7 linked regions of the Ovis aries genome follow. The protein of the gene in region 2 purifies or fractionates together with the protein of the main gene of each other region. This does not show direct contact. Links are inferred from orthologs where the notes say so. Each region holds a gene or a part of one and is shown on either strand. Other genes may lie near its edges. The genes, in order: SIN3B, RBBP7, ZBTB2, SAP130, GATAD1, MTF2 and SUDS3.

Evidence for each region.
Region 1: the proteins of RBBP7 (region 2) and SIN3B purify together in Homo sapiens (affinity purification with mass spectrometry; 5 studies listed by BioGRID and IntAct, counting the BioPlex papers as one, with this or other methods). This does not show direct contact. The link is inferred for Ovis aries from reciprocal best matches to the Homo sapiens genes RBBP7 and SIN3B.
Region 3: the proteins of RBBP7 (region 2) and ZBTB2 purify together in Homo sapiens (affinity purification with mass spectrometry; 3 studies listed by BioGRID and IntAct, counting the BioPlex papers as one, with this or other methods). This does not show direct contact. The link is inferred for Ovis aries from reciprocal best matches to the Homo sapiens genes RBBP7 and ZBTB2.
Region 4: the proteins of RBBP7 (region 2) and SAP130 purify together in Homo sapiens (affinity purification with mass spectrometry; 3 studies listed by BioGRID and IntAct, counting the BioPlex papers as one, with this or other methods). This does not show direct contact. The link is inferred for Ovis aries from reciprocal best matches to the Homo sapiens genes RBBP7 and SAP130.
Region 5: the proteins of RBBP7 (region 2) and GATAD1 purify together in Homo sapiens (affinity purification with mass spectrometry; 6 studies listed by BioGRID and IntAct, counting the BioPlex papers as one, with this or other methods). This does not show direct contact. The link is inferred for Ovis aries from reciprocal best matches to the Homo sapiens genes RBBP7 and GATAD1.
Region 6: the proteins of RBBP7 (region 2) and MTF2 purify together in Homo sapiens (affinity purification with mass spectrometry; 4 studies listed by BioGRID and IntAct, counting the BioPlex papers as one, with this or other methods). This does not show direct contact. The link is inferred for Ovis aries from reciprocal best matches to the Homo sapiens genes RBBP7 and MTF2.
Region 7: the proteins of RBBP7 (region 2) and SUDS3 purify together in Homo sapiens (affinity purification with mass spectrometry; 3 studies listed by BioGRID and IntAct, counting the BioPlex papers as one, with this or other methods). This does not show direct contact. The link is inferred for Ovis aries from reciprocal best matches to the Homo sapiens genes RBBP7 and SUDS3.

What each region holds. Positions count from the first base shown.
Region 1 is NC_056058.1:5,999,262-6,003,478, reverse strand, and holds the start of SIN3B (paired amphipathic helix protein Sin3b), read left to right. Parts: upstream 1-1,417; 5' UTR 1,418-1,433; coding exon 1,434-1,541; intron 1,542-1,782; coding exon 1,783-1,889; intron 1,890-3,191; coding exon 3,192-3,345; intron 3,346-4,217.
Region 2 is NC_056080.1:15,066,334-15,070,457, reverse strand, and holds the start of RBBP7 (histone-binding protein RBBP7), read left to right. Parts: upstream 1-1,324; 5' UTR 1,325-1,591; coding exon 1,592-1,739; intron 1,740-2,013; coding exon 2,014-2,158; intron 2,159-4,124. UniProt on the Homo sapiens protein: Core histone-binding subunit that may target chromatin remodeling factors, histone acetyltransferases and histone deacetylases to their histone substrates in a manner that is regulated by nucleosomal DNA.
Region 3 is NC_056061.1:76,246,035-76,250,108, reverse strand, and holds the start of ZBTB2 (zinc finger and BTB domain-containing protein 2), read left to right. Parts: upstream 1-1,274; 5' UTR 1,275-1,553; intron 1,554-1,978; exon of another isoform or gene 1,979-2,098; intron 2,099-4,074. UniProt on the Homo sapiens protein: May be involved in transcriptional regulation.
Region 4 is NC_056055.1:117,480,446-117,483,945, forward strand, and holds part of SAP130 (histone deacetylase complex subunit SAP130), read left to right. Parts: intron 1-3,160; coding exon 3,161-3,463; intron 3,464-3,500. UniProt on the Homo sapiens protein: Acts as a transcriptional repressor. May function in the assembly and/or enzymatic activity of the mSin3A corepressor complex or in mediating interactions between the complex and other regulatory complexes.
Region 5 is NC_056057.1:10,524,294-10,528,588, forward strand, and holds the start of GATAD1 (GATA zinc finger domain-containing protein 1), read left to right. Parts: upstream 1-1,495; 5' UTR 1,496-1,576; coding exon 1,577-1,834; intron 1,835-2,546; coding exon 2,547-2,672; intron 2,673-4,295. Other genes in the region: TMBIM7P (protein lifeguard 2), read right to left, coding at 956-972. UniProt on the Homo sapiens protein: Component of some chromatin complex recruited to chromatin sites methylated 'Lys-4' of histone H3 (H3K4me), with a preference for trimethylated form (H3K4me3).
Region 6 is NC_056054.1:70,329,513-70,333,012, reverse strand, and holds part of MTF2 (metal-response element-binding transcription factor 2), read right to left. Parts: intron 3,087-3,500; coding exon 2,916-3,086; intron 1-2,915. UniProt on the Homo sapiens protein: Polycomb group (PcG) protein that specifically binds histone H3 trimethylated at 'Lys-36' (H3K36me3) and recruits the PRC2 complex, thus enhancing PRC2 H3K27me3 methylation activity.
Region 7 is NC_056070.1:56,874,723-56,878,222, reverse strand, and holds part of SUDS3 (sin3 histone deacetylase corepressor complex component SDS3), read left to right. Parts: intron 1-717; coding exon 718-823; intron 824-3,500.

The sequences.
Region 1 (4,217 bases), on a different chromosome or scaffold from region 2:
GTGGCCATGCCCTCCTCCAGGGGATCTTCCTCACCCTGGGATTGAACCCGGGTCACCTTCTTTGTAGGCAGATGCTTTACTGTCTGAGCCACCAGGCAAGTCCCAATTTTACTCCTGACCCCTGGCAAACGATGCACCCGTTGCCAGCATATTCTCAGCTTTCCTGCACCTCTTCACAAGTAGAGATACCAAATGCAGATGATGTACAAGAGACCGTGGGATGGCAGAGGAGAAGTTGGGTAGTTTCTTGAGAGAGAGGATATTTGGGTTGTATTTTGCAGGATATATAGGGTGCTTTTTGTGTAATGAAGAGATTAATAGGGCTTCCGGCTGACGCATGGGGTCAGGGAGCAGCCAGGCTAAGTAGGCATTGACAGGAGTTTCTGCACAGATAGAAGGCAGCTTACTTGGGTGGAAAATTCTGCAAGAAAAGGTTCACAATTTAGGTTCACAATTGATTGCCTTCAATGCTGCATACAGGTGCTTAGATTTAACTCATAAGAAGTAGGAAGACCTTGGAGATTTGGAAGCAGTTGTGGAATGATCTCAGTTCCTGATAGCACTGTGACTGGAAAAACTGGTTAAGAGGCTCCCAAACTGGTCCTGTGGGGAAGCGATGGGAACAGGACTAGAGAAGTGAGGAGAGGAGGATCAGGACTAAGTCAAGAGCAGTTTAGCAGGGACTTCCCTGGTGTTTCAATGGCTAACACTCTGCATTCGCAACACAGTGGGCATGAGTTCAAACTCTGGTCAGGGAGTTAGATCCCACATGCCACAGCTAAGAGTTTGCATGCCACAACTAAGATCCCGCATGCTGCAATCAAGACTTAGTGCAGCCAAATAAATTAATAAACATCTTAAAAAAAAGCATTTTGGCAACACTTCAATGCAGGGCCTTGTATTGGGGTGCTGTGTGTCCATACCCCCAGTTGTTACATCAACCCTAGAAAGCAGGGGTCCAGAACCCTATTTCAGTAAATATATCAGGCTGTGTAGATCTTAGCATCTGTAGAAGCTATTTACTCCGCTGTCAAAGCGCAAAAATAGCCAGAGGTGCCCAGTAAACGAGTGGGCATTCCAGCGTTCCAGTAAACCTTAATTTTACAGACACTGAAACTTAAATTTCATAGAATTTTCACGTGGCACGGAGTAATCTGCACTACCGGAGTTTTTCCAACTTTTAAAACTGTAAAAAGCATTCTCAGCTTACTTGTGGGGCCGGACAAAAGCAGAGGCCAGCCCTTGGTTTGCCCACCGGTGGTACTTGAAGCGTTAGCAGCCTTTCAGTTTTTTGGGTAAGATCCTACAGCTAGTCCCTCCAGGAGCTTTGCCGTCCCAGCCGCCGCCAGGCCACGCCCTCCGGGGCGGAGCCAGCGCATGCGCGGCCCACCCTCGGGCGGGGGGCGGGGCGGGCCGCGGCTCCGAGTTCCAACATGGCGCACGCTGGCGGCGGCGGCGGCGTCGGCCCTGCGGGCCGGGGGCTGAGCGGCGCCCGCTGGGGTCGCTCGGGCTCCGGGGGCCACGAGAAACTGCCGGTGCACGTGAGTGGTGCCCCAGCCCTCCCTGGGGAACCCGGCCGTCCAGTCCCCGGAGGTTGGCGCCCCCTGCCAGGGCCCCGCCCGACCCTGGCCCTGCGTCGGCCTCCGCTCCGCCGGGCCCTGGACCCGCGACCCCCTGCCTCCGCCCCTCGGAGCCCGGCCTGCACCCCTCCCGCCAGGGACCCCCGGCCCCGGCCCCTTCTGCGCCGACCGCGGCCCACCGGGACCCTCCCCCTCCCCGCAGGTGGAAGACGCCCTCACCTACCTGGACCAGGTGAAGATCCGCTTCGGCAGCGATCCTGCCACTTACAATGGCTTCCTGGAGATCATGAAGGAGTTCAAGAGCCAGAGGTACCTGCGGGGCCCCTGCCCGGGGGCCGCCCCAGGGCGCGCCCTGGGCCGCAGTGGGCCTGAGCGCCGTGGGAGCCGCCAGCCCGCGCCGGCCCCCAACAGGGTGACCTTGCGCAGGTGGTGGCTGCTCGGAGCCTCGGTCCTTCTTCCAGACAACGGGACGGAAGGGTGCCCTCCTTGTGGAGCTATTGTGGGGATTCCTGGAAGGAGGGCAGGGATGCGGTGAGGCGAGTGAGGCGGTCAGGCAAGCACAGGGTGGGATCCTGTCTTTACTCAGAGTGTCGGGTTTTAAAGATAAATTTTGCTCGTCCGGGATTTTTTAAAAATTTAGATCCCCGCTCCCCCCCCCCCCCGCCCCAAGCACTACATGAAAATGTTACTTATCCAGATTAAGGAATGTTTTGGCACTTTCTCCCCCTCAAATCTTAATCCCCAAGGTGAGTGCCTTACTTGCCTCGCCCTCATCCCAGGCCTGCTTGGGAAATAACGCACACAAAATGCTTAATAAGGAACCTGGCACTTAGAAGGCATTTAAAACACATTAGCTGTTTTCATAGGCACAGGATCAAGGGGGTGAGAGATGTATCAGGGACCTCTCGATCCCCTGTCTTGTTTGACAGGGGTCTTGCTGAGACTTAGAGTGGGCCAGGGGTTCACCCAGGTTCACGTTAGAAGCAGAGGCGGGACCAGGACTCCATGCCTTCTGATTTAGATTTGTATCAGATCTACACCGTGGTGCTTTCCCCACAGAGGAAGTAATAACGGCAGGGCTCACCTGGTTTCCTTCCCAAGCCCGATGGTAGACCTTGGCCCTGACTGCAGCCCCGAGGGAGAACTCTATCTCCTCTCTCCTTGAGCTGTTACGCAGTTTCCATACGTGCAGGGCCTTTGACATTTATGCATTACCGTCAGTTGCTGGGAACAACTCCTGGGAACAGCAGATCGCTGATTCGTATGAAGTGAATTTGTCTCCCTGTTTAGAGGACTTGGCTTCCTGTCACTTCTTGGAGCTCAGGATGTGCAGCTGGCTCTCCTGACGTTTCCAGAGCCTAGCGCACGTGCTTGCGGTTTTTTGGGAGCTGTGCTGTGCGCCTGTTGTGTGGGGTTTTGGCAGGAAGATACAGGGAGCCCAGGCCTGGCTGCCTTGGTGGTGGACCACCGTCTGCAGTCACACAGTTTAGGGTGCGTCGTTGTCTGTTGAGCAGCCTGTGTCCTGGGACGGGTAAGAGAGTCAGAAGTCAGCTCGGTTCCCAGTCTGCCCCCCAAGACCCTCCTGCCCACTCCTGGTCTTCTTTGTTGCAGCATTGATACTCCGGGTGTCATCCGGCGAGTGTCGCAGCTCTTCCACGAACACCCTGACCTCATTGTTGGATTCAACGCTTTCCTCCCTCTCGGCTACAGGATAGACATTCCCAAGAACGGCAAGTTAAACATACAGTCGCCTCTGTCGAGCCAGGTATGCAGTGGTGTGAGTGACCTGGACTCAGCACCGCCCACCCTGGCCCTGGGGGTACTCATGCCAGGCAGTATATCCCGTGTGTTTCATTGGCAGGGAAGCAGGTGAAGGGCCGATCTTCTTGAAATGCTTCTAGCGCAAATCAGAGTGAATTGAAACACCTTCCCCAGCAGCCTCTGCATCCCAGATTGATCCACTTGGCAGATTTAAATCAAGAGTGGGTGTGTCTGTATGTGTCAAGGAGGCATTCTCTGAACGTAGTTTTATGTCCAGTCACAGTCAGAGATGTGGATGGACTTAAGAGTCTGTCATACAGAGTGAAGTAAGTCCGAAAGATGAAAACCAGTATTGGTATATTAGGGCATGTATTAACATGTGGAATCTAGAAAAATAGGACAGAGGAACGTAGTTCCAGGCCAGGAATGGAGACTCAGACATAGAAGACGGACGTGTGGGCACAGTGGGGGAGGGGAAGGTGGGGTGAATTGGGAGATTAGGTTTGGCATAAACACACTACCATGTGTAAAACGCTTAGCTACTGGGACCTTCGGTGTGTAGCGCTGGGAGCTCAGCTCAGGGCTCTGTGATGACCTAGAGGGATGGGGTGGGGTTGGAGGAGGAGGGAGGTCTAAGAGGGAGGGGGTGTGTGTGGCTGATTCACTTGGTTGTACGGCAGAAACTCAACATTGTGAAAGCAACTGTGTTCTGATTAAAAAAGATACTGGCAGTCGCAGCCACCAAGGTCTGGGTTTGAGGCTCCCCCTCGGAGCGCTAGGCGGCCCCCGCTTGTGCTCGGGCCGGTCATCCCTCTGAGCACCCTGGCAGCGCACAGGAGGAAGTGGTGGAGACGCGTGTGTGACCGGCCGTCTTTG
Region 2 (4,124 bases):
AGCAAGGCTCAGGCAAGCCGGTCCCAGGTCAGCTCTACCCAGTTCTTTCCAGCTTCGCCAGCCTAGGGTGGGGTCACCCTGGGACCCCCGCAGGTTACAAATGACTCAGCAAGGCCCAAGGCTAGGAAGAATACAAGAATGGCAATGCAGGAACAAAATCCTCTGCAGTACGACAGGGCTCAAATATCATCTTATAGACTCGAATTTGTTAACAAAGACGAAACTCAAATCAGCCTCGGGGCGCTGGCGGCCTGTGCTTGAACAGGCCGCAGGTTTAGCCTACAAGGCAGGCCCAGCGGCTTGAACAGTCGGAAAACGCCCGCGGCCTCTGCTAAAGGCCCCCTTTGCCTCCGACAATCCCACCTCGCCTCGACCAGGCCCCAGAAAAGGCCAGTCGGCTGGAGGGAGAACTTTCAGAGTGCACAGACTTATGCATGTCCGTGACTGTCAGGGAGACTTTGAGGGCACAGTAGTCTCTCGAGACTAGAAACCATTTTTCTCTCTAGCGCTGAGATTTTGCTTGGCTAAGCGGCAGCAGCCTCCCAGCCCCCCAGCCCCCCACCCCCACCGCCAAAGCCGCAGCAAGCAGCCACGTCCCGCGGCCCCAGGGCTCGCCGCCCCGGGGCTCGCAGCCCCCACGCAGCTTGCACGCCGCGCCTCCTTTCGCCCCACCCCCTCGCGCCCCCATCCGCCCCCGCGGCCTGCCCTGGGAGCGCCAGGCGAGCCCTCGCGCCTGCGCCTCGCCAACTTCCTGCCGCGGAACGCCCCACCCACCCCCAAAAGCCCGCCTCCGAACGCCGCGTTAAACCTGCCTGCCGCCAGTCATTGGTCAAAAAGACGAAGCCGTTGGCTCCGAGGCCCACCCAAGCCACCGCCTCTCACTTTTCCCAGGGCGGATGCGCCTGCGCTCAGCTGCCTGGGCGGGCTGGGAGGCGCGGGTTGAAAAGTCTCGTTCCAAGTTTGGAGAGAGAGAGAAGAGCGCCTCAGACCTCGGTACCCGCAAGCGGGGAGGAGGCAGCAGAGAAGGACGCAGCGTCTGGGGAGCTCCCAGGCTGTAAGACGGAGCTCAGGCTTCGAGAGCTAGAACTGTGTGACGCGCCTGGGAAAGGCAGGAGCGCTTGTGGTTGGGCTGCTCTTGGCTAGCAAGGGGAGTCCGAGGCGGCGGCGAGGGGCGAACGACCCGACGCAAGATGGCGAGTAAAGAGAGTAAGAGGCCCCGCGGGGCGGCGCGCGGCGGGGGGCGGTGAGCGTGCGAGGCCGCGGCACGCGCCGGCGAAAGGCGCGAATTGGCGTGAGGAGCAGGGGGCGGGGCCGGGCGCGAGGCAGGGCGCGCGCCTCGAGGGGCCTACGCGGGACGGGGCCGCGGCGCGAAGGGCTCCGAGCACTTCCGGAGCCAGGCGCGGGGCCGCGGTTGGGCCCCCTTCCCGCTACCCCCCGGCGTCACCCCCCTCTGGCGGCGGCGCTTGCTCTGCACCCGGGCGGAGGCGGCCTCCGTCGCCGGAAAGCGGGCACGGCACCATCTTCCACGCGCGCGCGTCGACCGCCTCGGGGTCGCGGCCCTTGTCCGGGGGATTCTGGAACCCGCCGACTTATGGCTGCCGGCTCGGGTTTCGTGGGAGCTGAGGCCTCTTCTGGTGGGGGATGGGGGGAGCGGGCCGATGCGTTTCTGCTACACGTGGATTCGTCTCGCCGGGTGGGTCGGGGAGCCCCTTTACATACGGGTCGTCATCTTGGAACAGGTGCGAACAGCTGTAACCGGCAAAACAATTGCGATATCTATGTAATTAATTGCCCAATATTGTATACGCAGGCGGTATTGATTTCAAACTGCAAAAAAATAAGCTTCCTGGTGTTAATATTCTCCTCGCGTTCTGGAAGACCAGTGAGTTGGTCGTGTCCAATTTAGTGGTTAAGAGAAAGAGGAGATAAGGTGTGGCCATCTCGAGGTGACCTCCAGTATAGATTTCGATCCCTTTCAGACACTTAATCGTATGGGATTTGTCCAAATTTCAGTGTTTGAAGATACTGTGGAGGAGCGTGTCATCAATGAAGAATATAAAATCTGGAAGAAGAATACACCGTTTCTGTATGACCTGGTTATGACCCATGCTCTTCAGTGGCCGAGTCTTACCGTTCAGTGGCTTCCTGAAGTGACTAAGTAAGGGTTTTTGTCAACTCTTATTTTGCATAAATTTTGCTGTTAACATGAATCTCCTAGTTTTTCGCGTCTTATACGTAGAACATAAACAAGTAATCGATTAAGCCTTTGGGTGATGTGGCAGGTGATTTTTATTTTCAAAACTGACTTACAGGGTGGTTTCTGACGTATAAATGTGGAATTAAAAGCGGACAGAGAATCTGTTCTGAGATTAAGGATATTTGTAGGATGCACCAGATACATTTGACATTTCTTGAACTTAAATGTAGACGCTGGGTTTTCTTTGGACCCCAAACTAATGGATTTCTTTAAAACTCAGTGGGAAAAGTGCACGAATCATAAGTGTATGGCTTGATGAATTTTTGCAAAATGAATACCTCTTTGTAACCAGCCCACAAGACGAATACGTTTTAATTGGCAAAGGAGAAAACAGTTTTGCAGCAGTTCACCAACGAAAAGGTGGTATAATATGATACATTTTGAGGTTGTTTTTGGTCTTCACCTCTTTGTAAAATTTCTCTGGTAATAATTGCTGACATTTGTTGAGCACATCTGAAGAGTTTTATGTCCTATTAGATTTAATACAACAGTACAATAATTATTTTTTATTATCCTCTTCTTTTTAATCGATGTGGAAATGGGCTGAGATGTTAAGTAACATGCCCCAGATCACACAGCTGGTAAGTGGTGGAGCGGGCTTTGGAATGCAAACCAGGTGGCCCCAGAGTTGAGGCAACCTCTGCACTAGGTTATGGTTCTCATACACTTGCACTTTTCCTAGTAAGAACCTGGCCATGTACTTTAAAAATGTATTAAATTTGATTGTTATGTGTATGTCATTTAATGAGGATTTATTAAACTCTAGAAGTTTTGCAACAACTTTTAAAAATAAGAGTAAATTACTTTGGTATAAAACTCATATAGTGGCCAGATTTTCCATATGAGAACATTGACTTCTACACGGTTAGGGACTTCTAGTGGACTTTTCAAAAATCTCAATGTAAATACACAGATGTGGGAAGAGGAGCCAAGAACTAAATAATGGAGACTTCTAAGTGTTGACATTTACAGCTTTGACCATCAAATGCTTAAGGGTATTGAGGTTCTGATGTAGTGCAGCACGGGTATTTGACTATGTCTTCCTATTAAGCAGATTAAGTTAAACAACTTAATTTGAATCTTTTTGATGTTTGACAGTAGAAAAGAGCCCAGGCTTTAAGGTTAGAGATCTGAATTTGAATCCTGCCCCTTGCTTCTTAGCTTTGTGAATTAGGGCAAATTGATCAGTCTCTATCCTGAAATAGTCTGGTCTGTAAATGGAGATGCTGAAAGTTCTTACAGCCTACATCTGAGGAAATGAATAAGATCACACATGTTAAAATGCTGGCTCAGAGTGAGTACACAGTAAGTGGTGACTGATGGTGGTTCTCCCACCCTTTCCTATTCAGAAATAAGTTGTTAGGGTGGAATAGCTCTGTTTCCATTTGTATTTCAATGAAAGCTGTTTAGTCACATTACCTATTATGTTTTTTGTGTAAAACACTTTAAAGATAATAAATCTGTGTTTTCTCAGCCCAGATACTACTTTTATATTAACACTTAGGAACTTAACAGAAAATACTTTATATATTCCATGGGGTTCTTTGCATACAAAGAAGTGGGATCTGGTTGTGGGATGGGCAGTGGCTCTGGGAGTGCAACAAAATGCCAGCCAGCCTGCATTCTTGTGTGTCGAAGACGGCTGAGTGGTGCTTTGCAGGTTTCTGTTTGGACTATGAAGGGACTGTGATTGTGTTTTATCACTATGTAGGACAGTAGAAATGTTGGATACTCTTACAGCCTGGCACTTTGAGAGGCAGGCCCTACTCAACCTCATCTGGCTGGTCTTCTGTATACATACAACATGCTTCCAAATGATTACTTGCACTTTCTGAGCTGTTGCTCTTAAATTCAGTTAGGTGATCAT
Region 3 (4,074 bases), on a different chromosome or scaffold from region 2:
AAAGTTATACAGCTGTGTATTGTCTTCAAGAAAGAAAAATTAGTCATCAGTAGCACCAGGTACAACCCGGTTACCAAATGATACACAGTTAGCAGGGACATTTCTGTGTGTTAAATTAATTCTGTATTAAGACAGTAAGCTTGCTTGAAGTATTTTGTGAACTATGTCACAGGGCGCTGTGCGTAGGTTTCACTACATAAAATAAACCAAAATGGGTTCCACATCAAATCAAGGAGCTTGTAAGCAGGAAAGCATGCTTTAAAACCAAAAAGAAGCCTAGGGAACTGCCGCCTCCATTTCCAAACAAATGAAGCCAGTCTTAAGTCTTCAAACTCCTAGATATGTAAAACAAAGAAATCATTAAATGCATTCCTCAAAGGACAATATCATTACTTCTAAAGATACAAATAAAATTCTAGCAAAACGGCAATGACACAAAAGTAAATCTTAAGATGTTAAAAATCACCACCAAACAATACTAAATTCCATGCCTGTCTAGTTGCCATGTTTCAGGAACTCTCTGTTAAAAATATTTCAGGACCTCTAATAAATCTGACAGAATGGCCAACTCTAGAATCCACTCTAACAGTATCTCACAGACCAAAAGTTAAGTTATCTAAATAGTTTCTAGGTAACAAACATGCTTTGCAGACTTCGATTTTTCTGGACCAAAACTTCACCAGCTAAAACACAACTGCTGCCACAAGCATCAAGTTATATCCTAACAGAAACGTCTCACACCGGTCAGTAAGGAAGCAGTTCTATCTCCAGAGACACCACAAACGAGCATTTCTATTCCAGCTTGACTTCCTGACTACCACTGGCAATCTTTTTTTTTAAAAAAGAGTATTAGTTCCACAATGAGCTCCTTGATTCATTCTCAAGTCCGTTGCAAGACTTAAGGCTTAAAACGTATGCTAATTCGGGCAGCAGAGGGACAAAGGTGCGGGCAGAGAGATGTCAAGCAGGCCGCCTGTAGAAGGATCCCAGCAGGAGTTCTCCGAGCCTTGCCGGAGCATCTCCAGGAGCGTCCTACCTAACGCTTTATGTAAACATGGGGCTTGTGACTCAAGCCTCAAGCCCCAATAGGTGGAGAGAAGTTTCCTCGCCTTGGCTGCACATGGTTTGCAGAAGTTTGGCTGGAGCGTAGCGCGGAGCCTGGGTGGGAGCGGCAGCGTACTTAGTGCTGCAGGCGGCGGCGGCGGCGGCGGCGGCAGAGCAGCAGGAGGCGGAGGCGGGCGGGGGGAGGGGAGGCGGCTGGGGGGGGGGGGGGGGGGCTCTTGCCGCCACAGCTCTCTCGCCGCCTCTCCCCCCCGGCGGGAGCCGCTCTCAGCCTCTTTGCACTAGTCGCTCCGCTCTCTCGGTCATGTGACCTTAACGTAACCGGACAGGAAAAGCCCCGCCGCCGCCGCGCCGGAGACACCGACCGCGGCGGCAGCAGCAGCAGCAGCGAGAGGCAGAGGCGGCGGCGGCGGCGGGGAGCACGGCCAAGGCTGCCCAGCGGTGCCTCCTCCACACCGCCCCCCTCCCCGCCGCAGCAGCACCGGCGACAGGTAAGCGCGCACCGCCGCCGCCTCCCGGGGCCGGTGCCCACGTGCCGCCCCCACAGCCCAGGCTCCGGGAAGGCGGAGGGCGGGGGCCACCGGAGCGCGCAAACGGTTCCGGCAGCGGCGGTGGCAACAAAGAAGACGAATGACCCCCCACTCTCCAGTCCCGGGGCTTCGGGTGAAGGCAGGCGGAGGGCCCGGGCCACACGGGGACCCGGTTCTGGGAAGCGAGGGCGAGGGGGCGCCCCGCGGGGGGCGGGGGCGGCGGCGCCTGGCGCCGGGGCTCTGGCCGCCTGACAAAACCATCCCCCGGAGCCAGGCGGCGGCGAGTCGGCGGCGGCTCCATCCGGGGCTTTGCGGGAGGGGGAGGGGACGGAAGCCGAGAGGGCGGGCGGCGGAGCGGGGGAGGGAGGGAGGAAGGGGAGGGGGGCGATTCGCGTTCCGTTCCCCGTCGCCGGTCCCTCCCTTCCCGCCGCCACCGCGAAGCGCGTCCCGAACGGCGGCGGCCGGTGAGCGTCCCGCGCTGGAGCCCCGAGAGGCGGGCCCGTCAGGTGCGTAATCCTTCCGACGCCTCGCCGCCGCCTCCTGCTGCCGCCGCTGCCGCCGCTGCCGCTGCTTCTTCAGCGGCAAGGCCGCGAGCTGCGGAAGTGGGTTTGGGGGAGGGGAGCGGGGAGGGAGGGGGAGGGGAGGGATCCGGTCCGACCGGAGCAGGCCCGGCCTCTCTGGCGCTTCTCCCAGCTGCAGCGGCTCCTACAGCTGCTGCCGCTACTGCTGCGGCTCCGCCTCCCCGCTCGCGGGCGGGGGCGCGCACGCGCGCTTCCGGCCTCTTCGGGTCTCGCGCTGTCTCCCGCTCTCGCGCGCGCTCTTCCCCTCGCCCTGTCTGGCCACCTCCCCGCCCCCGGCGCCGAGCTGTTGCGCCGGCCGGGGCGTTGCGCACGGCGTAGGCGTCGGCATTGTGTTAAACTCCGCGGGACTTGGGCGAGCGCGCGCGCGCACGCGGGACTGAGGGTGGCGGAGAGCGTGAGGCGCGGCCCGAGTGCGTCGCTCCTCCTCTCCCCTCCCCGCCCCTTTAGCTCCCTCGGGGCTGGGGGCGGGGCCTGAGTGCCCGGCGCCGCGGCCCTGCCGGGCCCCCCTCCGGTCCGGGCGGTCCCGCCCCGGCCCGGCCCCCGCCCCTTGAAGCGGGGCGGAGCGAGGCTGACGGGGCGGCCGTTGGGCCGCTCTGGGGCGGGCGGGGCAATGCGGGCCTCCTTGGGCGCTGCCCGGGGCCGCCCGCTGCGGCCTCTGCAGCCGGTGTGGGCTCGCTGAGCGGCGGCCTCGAGCTTCCGCTCCGCGGGCGATCTGCGCCTCGGATAAGACAAGACTCGCCCAGGGATGCGCTGTGGTTTCTTGGCTGCTTGGCCTTGGGCCGTGGGACCGGCCTCCGAGCCGCGCTCTCCGCAGATGTGGCCGTCACACCCGGATAGGACTCTGCGGAGGGGAGGTTGGGGCTCGGAGTCTGCTTCCCGGGGCCAGAGTCGTTTTCTCTGTGGCGAAACCCCCAAACCGTGAATTTTTAAACAAGGCTGAGAACTGGTAATGGCCGAAAATGCTCTAAGAAGCAATGTTGTTGTCACTTTTAGCTGGTAATGAATTAAGAGGGCAATGAAGAAGGCAAGGGCAGCAGAGCAGGCAAGAAAGTGACCGGGTGGAGTGAAAATGCAGTTATTGCTACGCCATTTACTGCACGAACTTCATCTGCTGAACTCCTAATTATGCCCTAGGGAAATAACCCAGACCCGTTGCTCCCCCCGCTGTCTGCAGTGTTCATTAGCTCTTCATCTTACAGCCCACTTAGAGTGTGACTCTCAAAAGTCTATTCATTTCCATAGGTTATTGTTTTAGTAAAGTAAAGCATTAAAAAGATCGGTGCCCTGGGGCTCAAACAGAACTCTGAGGTGCTCTGGATTTCCTTAAGTGGGCTGCCCAGTCCTCTCTAGGATGATCTCTGTGTTGACCCATTACCCTAATGGGTCACTGAAGTAGGGTGTAAATACCAACATCATTTTTAGTCTGAGGGGCTTGACATTTTAATAGAAAATCAGAAGTAAGTTTTAAACCCTCATTTCTCTGATTTATTACAAGCCAAATTTAATTGTTAAAGTATATTTTTATTTTGCATTCCAAGTAATCTTGTGTGTCCAGGGCGTTTTCAAACTGCTAAAAGTAATTTTAAAGACGCTTATGACTAATACTGCATTCCTTTAAACTGGGCGTTTCTCACTTAATTTGTGGTTTGTAGAAGTTTATTTTCTAGCCAAAGAATTGACCTGCTATTGAAACCATCGCAAGATCTCAGAGTACAAGAAGTGGTATAACAGTGGTATTAGTGTCGAAAGCGCAAGCAGTCACCAGTGGAGTCCTGGTAGAGGGTGGCAGAGAAACCACCGCTAGAGCTTTGCTGCGCAGACCAGCTGCCTGCTTGCCAATTTTAAAGCTTTTATTCAAAAAGGATGTAAATAAATTGTGCTCCCCAAACTCTTCAACTGGA
Region 4 (3,500 bases), on a different chromosome or scaffold from region 2:
CGACTGAGCGACTTCACTTTCACTTTTCACTTGCATGCATTGGAGAAGGCAGTGGCAACCCACTCCAGTGTTCTTGCCTGGAGAATCCCAGGGACGGGGGGGCCTGGTGGGCTGCCATTTATGGGGTCGCACAGAGTCGGACACGACTGAAGCGACTTAGGAGCAGCAGCAGCAGCATAGGTATATAATCTATATATTTTGCAAGGAATTGCTCCCTCTCATATTGTTCCTGAAAATTCACTTGTTGCAGAGGTGTTTTCCGTTTCATTCATTCATTTATTCATTCATTTATTAATTCCACAAATATTTATTGAAATTCTATGTAAGATCCTATGCTAGCTCTGCTTTAAAATTGACTTATAAACAGATGTTGCTTTCAACAAGCTGAGAGTCTAGTAAGGAGATGAGGTGTGAAAAGATACTATAATATGCTCAAGCTCACAAGAGAGACTTGAGCAAAGCCATGCTGTTTCTGAGTTAAGAGGTTATTTCTACTTGAGAAGGTCGGGTTGGAGGTCAGGAATGATTTCCTAAAAGAAATGACATTTGGGAAGCATCTTTCAGAATGGATAGGGCAGAGCCATGGTAGGACTGGAGAAAAGCACATTTCTGTCTCTGAATAAAGTATTAACTAAAATATGTGCTTGAAAAAACAGAGTGGCTTCGTTTTGGTGGAAGCCTAGTGTGAGTAAGAATGCGAAGTGTGGAATAAGATTAGATCTTGCTCAGTACTAGAGAGTCTCAATGCCTGTGCAGGAGACACAGGATCAGTCCCTGAGGTGGGAGGATCCACTGGAGGAGGGAAAATGGCAGCCCATATTCCATGGGAGAAACCCATGGATAGAGGAGCCTGGCAGGCTGCAGCCCACAGGGTCACAGAGAGTCAAACACGACTGAGCACACACGCACACACGGTGTGGGTGAGAATATAAAGTGTGAAATAAGATTGGGTCTTAAAAAGGCTTGTAGTAGTAACTAGACTGCAGGTTCTATAGCAGGCAAGTGACCAAAAACTGTTGTGTAACAGAAATACCATGGGTATACTGCTCAGGAGGAAACTAGAATGCTCTGGAAATTGTCTATGTGTGTATTCTACAAAGGAAGAATTGTACTAGAACAGGGACTTTTAAGTTTACGTGTTCTATCACTTCATTATTCTTAATGCATAATAACTTACCTTTTTATTTGTCATTTATAAAACATTTTTATTATATTATTAAAATTGAAGTATTTGTTGTTCAGTCACTGAATCGTGTCTGACACTTTGCCACCGCATGGACTGCCATGCCATGCTTCCCTGTCCTTCACTATTGCCCAGAATTTGCTCAAACTCATGTCCATTGAGCCATCCAGCCATCTCATCCTCAGTCATCCCCTTCTCTGCCTTGCCTCAATCTTTCCTAATATCAGGGTCTTTTCCATTGAGTCAGCTCTTCACATCAGGAGGCCAGAGTATTGGAACTTCAGCATCAGTCCTTCCAGTGAATATTCAGGATTGATTTCCATTAGGATGGACTGATCTCCTTGCTGTCAAAGGGACTCTGGAGAGTCTTCTCCAACACCAGTTTCAAAGCATCAGTTCTTCAGAACTCAGCCTTCTTTATGGTCCAACTCTCACATCTGTACATGTCTTACTGGAAAAACCACAGCTTTGACTAGATGGACCTTTGTCAGCAAAGTAATGTCTCTGCTTTCTAATATGCTGTGTAGATTTGTCGTAGCTTTTCTGCCAAGAAATTCTAAAATTCCAAAATTGAGATATAATTGACATACCTTAGTTTCGCATGTACAGCATAATAATTCATTATTTGTCTGTATTGCAGAATAATCACCACAGGTCTGGCTGGCATCTGTCACTATACAGTTCCAGATTGGTTTTTTTCTTGTGATGAGGACTTTTTAAGATCTACTCTTAGGAACTTCCAGATTTAACTGGTATATTTAACTGTAATCATTATGCTGTGCATTATATCTGCATAACTTAATGTCTTTAACTGGAAGTTCATGCCTTCTCGCTACCTTAGCCTGTCTCACCCGCCCTCTGCCCTTGCCTGTGGCACCACCGGTCTGTTTTCCCTATCCAGGGGCTCGGTTTGTGATTTTCTGCATTTTAGATTCCATATGTATGTGAGATCAGATGATGTTTGTCATTCTCTGTGTGACTGACTTCACTGAGCACAGTACCCTTGAGATTCATTCATATTGTCACAGATGGCAGTGTTTCAGGTTTTTTTCCTTTTTAATAGCTGAGTGTTATTCCATGGTGTGTGTGCATACCATGTCTTCTTGATCTACTCGTCCACTAGTGGACATGGATTGTTTCCATATCTTGGCTATTGTAAGTAACACTGCAGGGAACATGGAAGATACGTCTATCTTTTTCCAGATTTGTTTTCTGAGAAGAAAAGTCTTGTTTGTTTTCTTTCCACAAATAGTGAGAAATCCCTTCTTTTTTTGTTTCTTCCTGGGAATGTTTGTGTTTTCAGTTCTGTTGTTGAGTCAGTTTTTAATGTACACGGTAGCTGATTGAAAAAGGACAGGTTGATTGTTCTCTCTCCCAAGTGCATATTTTAGAATTTAAAATTAATAACTACTGTATTTCAGAAATTCCTCTGATAGTGGTTCTTCTATCAATTAAAGCAAAGATTCTTGACTTGGAGGCATGGATAGATCGCAAAAGTTTGTATTAATTATTTCATAGTTGCCTGGCTCACATTTGGCTTTTAATAAATGGTTGCTTTTTCTCATTTTAATGCTATTTCTGCAGAAAGATCATCTCAAATTAGTAGAAAGTAAGGTGGAGAAAACATCAATGCTTAGAGATTTATATAGCACTTTCTTTTTAAATTGAGAGTTTAGATCTTGAACGTGGAAAAATTGTTTTGATTTCTGAGTGTTTTTCTCCTTGAGTGAGTGAGTGAGTGAGTGAAGTCGCTCAGTCGTGTCCGACTCTCTGCAACCCCATGGACTGTAGCCTAACCAGATTCCTCTGTCCATGGGATTTTCCCGGCAAGACTACTGGAGTGGGTTGCCATTTCCTTCTCCAGGAGATCTTCCCGACCCAGGGATTGAACCCAAGTCTCCCACATTGTAGGCAGACGCTTTACCGTCTAAGCCACCAGGGAGCTAACATTCTTGTCACTTTCTGCATCATCTGTAGTTTCAGCTCAGGCTCCAAACTCTGCCATCACAGCTCAGACTGGAGTAGGGGTGGCATCCACAGTCCACCTGAACCCCATGCAGTTGATGACAGTGGATGCATCTCACGCTCGACATATCCAAGGGATCCAGCCAGCCCCCATTAGTACACAGGGGATCCAGCCAGCCCCCATTGGCACCCCGGGGATCCAGCCAGCCCCCATCGGGACACAGGGAATTCACTCAGCAACCCCCATCAGCACCCAAGGACTTCAGCCTGCACCAATAGGGACCCAGCAGCCTCAGCCCGAAGGAAAGACTTCAGGTAATTTTAATTTTTTACATGGAACTTGGTATGGAGA
Region 5 (4,295 bases), on a different chromosome or scaffold from region 2:
TAAGGCAGTCAATACAGCTTTCTTCTTCTTCCCACACCCCTCCACCAACATATTCATCAAGACGTGTGAGAGAACTTCAAGAGTAGGAAACCCAGGATCACGAAGAGAGGCAGGCAACCACCACTCCACTGAGAGAGGCTGGGTAAAGACTCATTTCCCTGGCCTGGCTGGTACTGCCCAGCGGCATTAATTGAGAAGGCTGGATTCTCATGATGCCCTTGTCTTAGGTCAGCTCTTCCCAAGTGCGGTCCAGGGAGCTCCCAAGACACTTTCTGGAGGTTCTCGGGGCCAAATCTGCCTCCCAACAATGCCAAACCAGCACTATCTCCCCGGCCTAATGCTCAGAGGCTATGGGACTCAAGATGACACCGCCACTCAAGAGCCAGTGAACGTATGCGTGGTCTCCAGGGGTTTAAAGTATGTTTCAATTCCTAATACTCAAATGTCCCCTATAAGCAAACGTATATGGGGGTGTAAATTATAATTTTAAAGAGTGTAAGGAGGTCCTAAGTACGAGAGCCAGACTTGGAAAATTAAAAATACAGGCTGCCCAGTTAAATTTGAATTCAGATAAACAACGAACATTGCATAGGATACATTGGCGTTAGTAAGTTATTAGTTGCTTATCTGGAATTTAGATTCACTTAGGACACGACTGAGCGACTGAGCTGAACTGAGGCATTTTATAAGCCAATGGTAGGCCTAAAAGGCCGAAAAGCTCGTGAACCTTCCCGCTGCTGCTGCTGCTGCTGCTGCTGCTAAGTCGCTTCAGTCGTGTCCGACTCTGTGCGACCCCATAGACGGCAGCCCACCAGGCTCCCCCGTCCCTGGGATTCTCCAGGCAAGAACACTGGAGTGGGTTGCCATTTCCTTCTCCAATGCATGCAAGTGAAAAGTGAAAGTGAAGTCGCTCAGTCGTGTCTGACTAGTGGCGACCCCATGGACTGCAGCCTACCAGGCTCCTCTGTCCATGGGATTTTCTAGGCAAGAGTACTGGAGTGGGGTACCATTGCCTTCTCCGAACCTCCCCGCAGTCCCAGTAATTCCAGGGAAGGCACTTCCGGTCGGACGAGCGGCCAGTGTGCGGCCCCACCCATCACCGGAAGCCCCTAAGGCCGAGGCCAGGCTGTCCTCCCAGGCCCCGCCCCGCCCCGCCCATCACCGGAAGCCCCTAAGGCCGAGGCCAGGCTGTCCTCCCAGGCCCCGCCCCGCCCCGCCGATCACCGGAAGCCCCTAAGGCCGAGGCCAGGCTGTCCTCCCAGGCCCCGCCCCGCCCCGCCCATCACCGGAAGCCCCTAAGGCCGAGGCCAGGCTGTCCTCCCAGGCCCCGCCCCGCCCCGCCCCGCCTCCTGGCGCTTCGGGCCGCCGAGGCTGGAGCTGGCTGCGGAGCGGGCGGAACCGGCTTCCTGCCTCCAGGGGGCGGCGGCCGCGGCCCGGTCCCGGCTTGGGCAGCTCGGCGCCGCGCCCGCGCCTCTCTTCTGTCTGTGGGAGTGGCAGGCCGGCCCGCGGGCCGCCGAGGCCGGCGGTCGCCATTCCCGTGTCGCTGCGCCCGCGGGGGCCGCCCGAGCCGGCCACCATGCCGCTGGGCCTGAAGCCCACCTGCAGCGTCTGCAAGACCACGTCGTCCTCCATGTGGAAGAAGGGCCCGCAGGGGGAGATCCTCTGCCACCACTGCACAGGCCGGGGCGGCGCAGGCGGCGGGGGCTCCTGCCCGGGGGTGGCCGGCGGCACAGGGGGCGGCGGCGGCGGCGCAGGGGGTGGCTTCGGCGCCGCGACCTTCGCCAGCACCTCGGCCGCCCCTCCGCAGAGCAACGGGGGCGGGGGCGGCAAGCAGGTGAGCCCCTGCGGCCCCTCCCGCGGGCGGAGGCCGGCGCGGCGGGCGGCACCCTCCCGTCCGCGACGAGAAGGTCGTCGTTGGTTTGGCCCCTTATCAGCACCTTTTCTCATGAGAAGTTTAAAGTCTAGAGAAGCAGGAAGAGGAAAACCCCCTCAGAAATCCTTCCCCTGTGATACTTTGGGTAGCAACCGGACATCTCAGGGTACATACGTTTACACAGAGATGTCTACGGGGTCACGGCTACTGGACCTCTTTCCCTGTTAATAAAGTTTACTTTGTCATAATGTCATGTTATTAAGGTTATCAGGTCATTTTCAATAGTAACATGTGTTCCGTTGCAGGAGGTGGCATACCACACCCATTCTCTAGCTTAGGAGAGTTGAATTTTTAAGGACTTTTGTGTTATAAACGCAACCGATGAATGGGCTTACCCTGGCATAAACCGACTCCTCTTGCTGCCCGTTGCCCTTTTACAAGTAGTTCACACCTTTTTTGGAGTCTGGAGATGTTTGCCTGTGGCTCTCCGTTTTTAAATTAAGCCAGTTCGTTTGATTATTACCCAGCATGAAAAGAAAAGTTGCACTCTTACTTTATTTTTGAATGTTCGTTTAAAGTGCATACTCTGGGATCCTTGTAAGATGGTTGTATCAGGACAGCAACCTTTCTACACTTTTTATTTCTCTTTTTTTGTTCTTTGTTTATGTAACAGAGTAAGCAGGAAATTCACAGGAGGTCTGCTCGGCTCAGAAACACTAAATACAAATCTGCTCCAGCTGCTGAAAAGAAAGTTTCCACTAAAGGGAAAGGGAGAAGACATATTTTTAAATTAAAAAATGTAAGATGATTGTGGACAGTGTCTTGTACTGTAATTGTGGCATTGTGTGTAGTGTGACCAACCACCGCCTTCTGGCATTGTGTGTAGTGTGACCAACCACCGCCTTCATCTCTCACCATTGAACTTGGACTCTGCTCTTGGCAGCTCTTCTGTAGCCTTCTGGGGACTGATCCAGGCTTTCAGAAAGGGAAGGAGCTCTTTTAGGAGGCTTACTGTTATAAAGTTAACGATATCCTCTTTTCCTTGTTTTAGTTTTTTTTTCCCCCTGGGGAACATAAAACATGATTCTAAAAGAAACCTAAATCTTGAGCACATTTTATTGGGTTCTCTATGCAAAAGATGAGATGGAGTTACAGTTCTTGGTATGGGCATGGTATTTTTTTTCCCATAGAGCTCTAAGTAAATAATAACACTGGAATTCATTCAGTTCCGTATTTACTTGTTATATGGCCCCAGAAAAATGTTTCTTACTGATTTACAGTGATCAACTTGATGAATATGAATCAAAAGTTTTACTAAATGTTTATCTCTAAGAAAATAGATCATTGAAAGACTTGTGCTGGGATAACTGAAAGCTTATTTTTGGTTTTGTAAATACAAGGGACAGTGGTCAAACACACTGGGCAAAGCATTCGATACTGTTTTTTGGGTTTTTGTTTTTTAAACCTCAGTATGGTACTCTGCTTTCAGAACAGAAATGCTTCACTCACCAGTAGAGGCATTTTCTGAAGTTGGGTGTATTCATTTAAAAAACTCAGAGAGGCCTTGCATTATATTCTTGTGCAGATTGTGGATTCTTTCTCTTGAGAGTAAAGGGAAAGGGAAGTCACTCAGTCGGGTCCGACTCTTTGCGACCCCACGGACTGTAGCCTGCCAGGTTTCTCCGTCCATGGGATTCTCCAAGCAAGAATACTGGAGTGGGTTACCATTTCCTTCTCCAGGGGATCTTCCCAACTCAGGGATCGAACTAGGGTCTCCTGCATTGGAGGCAGACACTTTAACCTCTGAGCCACCAGGGAAGCCCCTTTCTTGAGAGTAGTTGCTTCTAATTTATTTAGGATTTTAATAAATTTGTTTTCTAAAATGGGATTATTGACTAGACAAAATATGTGAACACTTGATTATAGTTGTACACACTTAAACACCCTTTTCCTCTTATGTATGGTGGAATATGTTTTCTGAAAGTATTTTAATATCAATTTCTCTGGCAACCACTTTCTTCAGGGATATCAAGACATATTTGGGAAGGCGTAGTTACTGTGTTGTGGCGTAAGAGTGTGTATTACAGCTTAAGAAGGAATTTTGATGATTGAGTGGTGGCAAATTACTAGCAACTCCCAAGAAAGCGTCCTTTGGCCTTGGTTCAGAAAACTAGTTAGAAAACTAGTTCTGATTGTATTATCATAGCTATAGTTAAGTTGAGATGGAAAATGTCTTTGAGGAGACTTGTTTGTTATTTCCACCTCTGTTGTGCTCAGGCCATTAAAGCCACAGATACTTTTTTAAATTAGATTGTTATGTGCAATAAAGCTCTGAGAAGGGTTCTGTTAGCCACATTATCAGGAGCTTGTCCTTTGATTCTCAGCAATTTTTAAGCTAAAGGTAACAGAAATAACAGCAGAA
Region 6 (3,500 bases), on a different chromosome or scaffold from region 2:
CAGGAAAAACTGAATTAAAAAACAAGGTAAAGGAACAGATTTATATAATACGCTAGAAAGAGGTGAATGGAGAAAACAAGAAATGACTATCCCTCCTCACCAAACTCGTTTGGGGAAATAAAGGTGGAAGTACGAGGAAAGAGAAAGTAGAGAAGTAGAGGAAGAAAGTGTAACTAAAACTATAATCCAAAATCTTATCCAAGGATAAGATGGGTGGGGTGTACATTTATTTTTTTGGCAGGATGATCAACATAACATTTACAAAGGACCCCTGGACTAAAGAAATTCATACATAGGGCCCAGAATGAACTGAAAATGCCTTTAGAGAAAGTTGAACCATTATCTGATCACATCAAGTGAAAATCTGATAACTACCACAGACAGAATGTCCTATCAAAATCAAAATAGGAACAAGAAAGATTGTGGAAATCTTTTTTCTAATTTATAATATAAACAATTGCTAGAAAAAGATTAATAATAAAAATCTGAAAGTAACAGGAATAGTATTATTTTCCTTCATAAAAAAAAACCCTTAAAGTACTATATACTTTATTACTAACTCAAATGGATACACAGCACTGACAACCCTCTGTAATTATTTTTTTCTTATTCACCAAGATGATTAACTCATACCTTATGTATTGGCTCCTTAAATTTCTCTCTCAGCTATCTTTGCCTCATAATTTCATTGAGAAAACAGAAGCTACTAGGCAATAACTTCAGTCATCACAGAATTAGCATTTGTACTCCACTGTCCAGTACTATTGCCTGGAAAATCCCAGGGACAGAGGAGCCTGGTAGGCTACATGTAGTCCATGGGGTCGCAAAGAGTCGGACACGACTGAGCGACTTCACTTCTTTTTCTCTCCATTTCAACAGAAAGATGTTAAGTCCTGCTTTAGAAGGTCAATCCCACATTTAGATTCCCACATCCTGTCTCTTATGTCTTCTCAAAGACTTTACAATATCTTTAGTTACCTCTCTTTCTTCTGTATCATTCTCCTCCACTGACATACAGAAACAGGTTACAACTGTCTTATATCTATTTTTAAAAAACCATCACTCGATTCAGCTTCCATTCTATTTGTCTACTTCCCTCCCTTAACAATACAGTGAAACTACTTCTGAGAGTCGACAACACATACCCTTCCCACTTTCTTCATTCTCTTTCAAAATTCTTAACAAGTATTTCCTTTTTTCCCCCTTTCCTGTATTACTGTCATCATCATTATTTTGAATCTTCCCATGTCCCTAATTGTAGAAAAAGACCAGTTTTGACAGTAAGTTGAGCAGTGCTGGATTCAATCATATTGTCCTACTGCCATCTGACTTTTACCTTTAACACTTAAGAAAAATAGTTTTTGTCAAAATCACTAATAACAAAATGTTATCTAATCCAATAAACATTTTTCTCTCATCTTAACCTGCCTCTCAGCAACATTCAGTACTGTTTAATAGACCCATATCTTTCTCAAACACTCTCCTTCACTTGGTTTTCATGACATCAAACTTTCCTAGTTTCCTCCTATTTCAATGATCGTTTTCTAGCCATCTCCTACATTTATTTCACTTCTTCCAAATCTCTAAATAATACCAGGACATTATTCTGGGCCACATTCTCTTCTTTTCTCTCTCTAGGTAATATCATCCATTCTCATGGTTTTAGAAATCAACTTCAAAATTTATTATCATGTGTCCTGAGCTCCTGACTGAACACACCCAATTGCCTGTATTTAACATCATTATCGCTTAGATATTCCTCATAAGAATCTTGAATTAAATGAGTCTGAAATGGAAGAATGCTTTATTCACGTCATCAAAATCTATTCTTCCAGTTCTTGGTAACAGACATGACCACCCACTAGTTGCTCAAACAAGGTATCTAGGCATTGTATAACTTTATCTTGCCCTTCCTTTAAAATTTTAATTCATTAGCAAAGCCAACAAATTATGCCCCCAGTGGAGATCTTGAATCTATTTTCTCTCTACTTGACTGCTATCACCTACAACTGCACAAGCCACCATTATCTCTCACCTAGAAAACTGAAAGTCTTCATTTTTTCTTGTTTCTACTTCTATAGATTTGCTTTCCAAACAGATCCAGAGAAGTATTTTAAAAGATAATTCAGCGTACATACATCTTTAAATAGCTTCCCATTATTCTGAGAAAACAACCGAAACTCCTTATGAGGTCTACAAAACACATGACCAAGCCCCACCCAACCTTTCCAGTACCCAATACTACTCTCTGCAGCCCTTGTTCACACCTTAGTAGCCTTCTGAAAGTTCCTAGAACATGCCTCATAGCTTCACACTTGTTATTTCTGCTATCTGAAGTATTCTTCCCTTTATTCTTCACATTGTTAGGTCATTCTCAATCTTTAAAGTTTCAGCTTCAATATTATCATAAACAAGCCTTCTTAAGCCTCTTTCTTAAAGCAGACCCCTATATCTCTATCCATCCCAGTACAGTCTAAATCTGTTTGCTATTTCCTAAATGGTATTAACATGATCTGTAATTATTTTGTTTACCACCTTTCTTCCCCATTATAATGTAAACCCCACCAGGGCAGAAAGAAGGTCTTATTTATTATATCTCCAGCACTTAGACAGTAAGTTGCCTGATAAACAGAATGAATGAACAAACGAATGAGAAATGAACAAACAAATGAATAGATACTTATGCTGAACAAAATCAATAGGGCCTATTCCTGGAAAGCCTTAGATCTATAGTAAATAAATAAACATCTAGCATTAACTCTTTGTAACTTGTTCAAGCGAGAAATTTTAAATAGGATAACAAATCAGGGTCACTGCCACTTGTACTTCCAAATATACTAATGAGGCTTAAGTAACATACATTTTTAGTTACAAATGAGCTAAAGAGAAAAACTAACCCACAGATCAACTTTTACCTTGATTCAGATATAGGTTTGGATGCCTTTCTGCCTTTAATTTTAAATTCATGGGAGGTTCCTTCAGGTTCTTTCTCTGCTTTGAAAGCCACATTTGGTGGCACAGGAGGAACACGAATTCGCAACCCAAACAAATGCTTCTTCTTCTTTATTTCTTTCCCAGACATAAACCTAAATTTAAAAAACAATTAACTAAAAATTTAAAAACTGAACACATATACATGGAAGACCCTCAGTCGTAAAACACATGAAAGTCTACCCAATACTACCCCGTTGCTCTTGTTTTTTCCCTTTGCTTTACTGGATTCTTATCTGCCCCAGAGCCAGTCCACGGTAGGATATGACAGGGGAGTAGGAGAGAGGAATAGTGTTAGAAGGAAGAACAGATGTCCGCTAGGAACACATGTCCGCTTTTCTTTTCAAAACGTAGCATCTAACTTTTTAAAGAAAGAAGAGTACAGAGTGATATCTCTTTTGGTCTCAATGTGCTTTTCCACATTTTTAGTCTTATCTGTTACAAACACCTCAAAAAAGGTTTAGGGAAAACAGAATTCTATTGCAGAGTGAATAGGTGAGGAGAGAAAC
Region 7 (3,500 bases), on a different chromosome or scaffold from region 2:
AGGCCCAGTGTTTAGGGTGCTTCATTCAGAGCAGCACTCAAGGGTCTTTGCTAGGCTGCAAAATAGAACTCTGAACTGGCAAGGCATTTTTGTTGTTGTTGTTTTTAAACATGGCAATTACTTACACATCCGTCCATGAGGTGAGTCTTGTGAAAGGAAACAAGATTCTTGCCACTCTAAATAATTCCCTCCTGAAAGCCACTATGGTCCGGAGAGAAGTTCTGAGTGTCTGAAGGCCTGGTGGGGCTGGTTGTGAATTTAGATGATTTGATCCCATTTTAGTTATCAGCGCTTTTAGCTTGACTCGATACATACCCCAGTAACCTGCTCTATCTCTTGATAAATATTTCTAGACATTTAATTTTTATAAATTTAAAGAGATTTTTCCAGTTCTTGCCCACTGGAGCTTCTTACTGTCAGTGGTGTTTTAGTCCTACCCCCAGTCACCTTGGGCACATCCTTAGCATGCCTGAGCCTCAGGTTTCAGTTTCTCTTCTGTGGGGAGGTTAATCTTTGCCTTGCCTGCTCGCAGAGTTGTTTTGAGGATGTGATGTACAAGAATTTTGTTGAATTTCCATTTATTACAACGGTAAGAACTTGAGGATCACGAGGACCCTTACCCCCTTTTAAATAGCATTTCACTTAAAGCATGTTAGTGAATGGACTCGCATGCTTGTGACATGCTTAGTCATGGGGATATCTCTTTGGTTCCTCCAGCATCCCCATCCTCTCCTGAACACTTGCCCACCACCCCTGCAGAGTCTCCAGCCCAGAGATTTGAAGCTCGGATAGAAGACGGCAAACTGTACTACGATAAAAGATGGTAAGTTCTGTGTGAACATAGGTTACTCATTAGTATCTCGAAAGAACCGTTTGGGAAGAGGGCCAGGTCTGTCTCTAGTTATTATTTCAGAGCATGGCTGCTGCTTAACTAAAGGTGGAGGGAGGTTAAGTGTGTCAGGAGTTTTGGATATCTGCTGCTTGTTAGATCTCTGAAGGCAGTGTTCCCCAAAACATGTTCTTCTGATCATGCTGCTGCCACCATGCTAGAACCTGCAGGCTTATATCTTTTGTGGTGCCCCTGTAGCCTGGGGTCAGGGTTTATGTCCCCCTCTGTCTCCCCTTAACTGGGCCCTCTGCATGCTGAAATTAATAGGGGTTCTGTGGAAGAAAAGATTCTGTGGTCAGGTGAGTGTGGGCCGTGGCTGTGTTAACTAATAACTAAGATCAGTGGGTTTCGTCATTGTAGCACTCTGGGTCTTCTGATACGCTAATGTACACTGTGAATTTATGAGATGTTACTCAGTACTGTTTATCTGACCAAGGTACCCTTTTACACAGGCTGTCCTGGTGGCTCAGTGGTACAGAATCTGCCTGCCAGTGCAGGAGATGTGGGTTCAGTCCCTGGGTTGGGAAGATCCCCTGGAGGAGGAAGTGGTGTCCCACTCTAGTATTCTTGCCTGGGTAATCCTATGGACAGAGGAGCTTGGGGGGATCGCAGAGAGAAGGACATGAGTGAGTGACTGAGCATGTGTGCACCCTGTTACACACCACATCCTGCAGCACAAGTGTTTCAGGGAATGTGCCTGGGAGAGGTGTAGCCTGAACCATTACTAGTTTAGATTGAAGATGGTTTGAAACCTTCAGGCCACCATTGAGGTCTTTGGAAGGAAATAGCAAAACAATATGAAAAACCTTATTCATGCATTTGCTCTTTTTGTAAAGGTTTCCTACTGTTTGCTCTGTGACTGGGCATCTGCTAGGTGTCAGGTCACCTGGACCCTGCCACCTTTTCTTTAAATTCTCAATTCTTCCTTTTATTCATTGCCCATGTGTAGGCATACTGTTGGTCAGGGTAAGTCATGGTGGACATGTTTTCATGCTGCCTTTCTACTTGTTTGTATGGAGAATGTTTCCCTGGGTTATTGTAGGGTCTCTGTAATTGCCATTTATAATGGTTATATAATGTTTTGAGTTTCAGTCTTTAAACCAAAATTCAAAAATTAGTTATGATTATTTTGAATGTTTTGAGGTTTCTTTAAAAAAAAAAAAAAAAAGCCCCAGTATTAAATGTGTGAAGTTGGTAAAAATGCTCAGAGACCTAGTGGTGCCTGAAGTAAATCAGTTCCACCCGTGAGGTTACAGTGAGTTAATAACCCAGTAGAGGATGAAGGCTGGATCTGTCTGTTAGCCTGATCTTGGTGACTTCTGCTCCTGTCATTTGATTCTTCGGTGTCCTTCTAAAAGGCCAGTTGTGTTGTTTTCTAGGGTTGCTTGTCAGAACACATCACCACTAGATGGCAGGCCCTGACAACTCAACACATCAAGGGGCAAAATAAGATGAAAAATGTTTCTAATAATGAAAACCAAATAACCTTTAAAGATCAAGCCCACACATAAGAACCATCTTCAAAAATGATGAGATTTATCACTAACATCTTTACGAATCTGTGAGTCCTAAAGCCCTGTGATATTTCAGATGATGTTCATTTTGTCATTGCGTCGCTTTCTGTCTTCCTTCTCCTAAGGCTTCGTCCTCAGATTTACAGGATATGAAAAGGCAGTAAAATAAAATTCTTTGTTTTTCTAAAGAAAGGATCCACAGTGACGGGGGTTTCACGGTGTAGACCGTGGTCAGGTGGGATGTGTCCAGCCACCTAAGCATTTGGAAGGCATTTCACTGTCTTTCTCCCAGTGGCAGCAGAGATCTTTCAAGTGTCTGGGAGCATCTGGTAATTTCAGTGACTTTCAGGCTGCTTACTCTGTGGTTAAGTATGATGACTGTTGTTTTCTGCATTCTTTGTGTTCCTCTTCTGTGGCCTTGCTGGTCAGAGTTCACGTCACATCTGCTGAGAGAGGGCCCCTCCCAGTCCGCTGGATCTGGCAAGTGTTTGCCAGAATCCTGGCTGATACAGTCCCAGTGCCGGACTGGCCTCTCACGTCTGACCAGGCTCATGATGTTTGGCTCCGTGTCCTTGTCAGTTTGGAGGCTCTCGTTCTTCCTTCTTTCTCAGTAGTCCTGGCCTATGGCCGAGAGGTCTGCTGAACTGCTTTCTGCTCTTGCCGGTGGCGTGAAGTATTTTTGTGAAACGGTATTTCTGGCAAAACACATTTCATTGAGTTTTAAATGACTTCAGCACAAGGAGTGTGATTTGGGCTGCCCATCTTGGCCTGAACACTTATTTATCAGGCTACGTTTCACTTGGGAAGATGAGCATCTGCCCTTGCCTCTGGGTATACTGCTTTTAAGATATTTTATGTCCTGCTGGAGGTTTTCCTCACGTTTTGATTTGTACTAATGACCCTCCTTAGAAAGCACTGTGAAAGTAGATGAGATTTTAAGGTGACTCACTGATGGTGCCAGTGGACTGTATTTTCTCCCCTCACTTTTAAATCTGGGGCTGCTAAAGTGAATCCAGTGAAACCACCCACGTGCACGGGTGGATTTAACCTTCCGGCCTGGCTTTTATTAATAACTCAAAGCAGTGACTCTTTCTTTA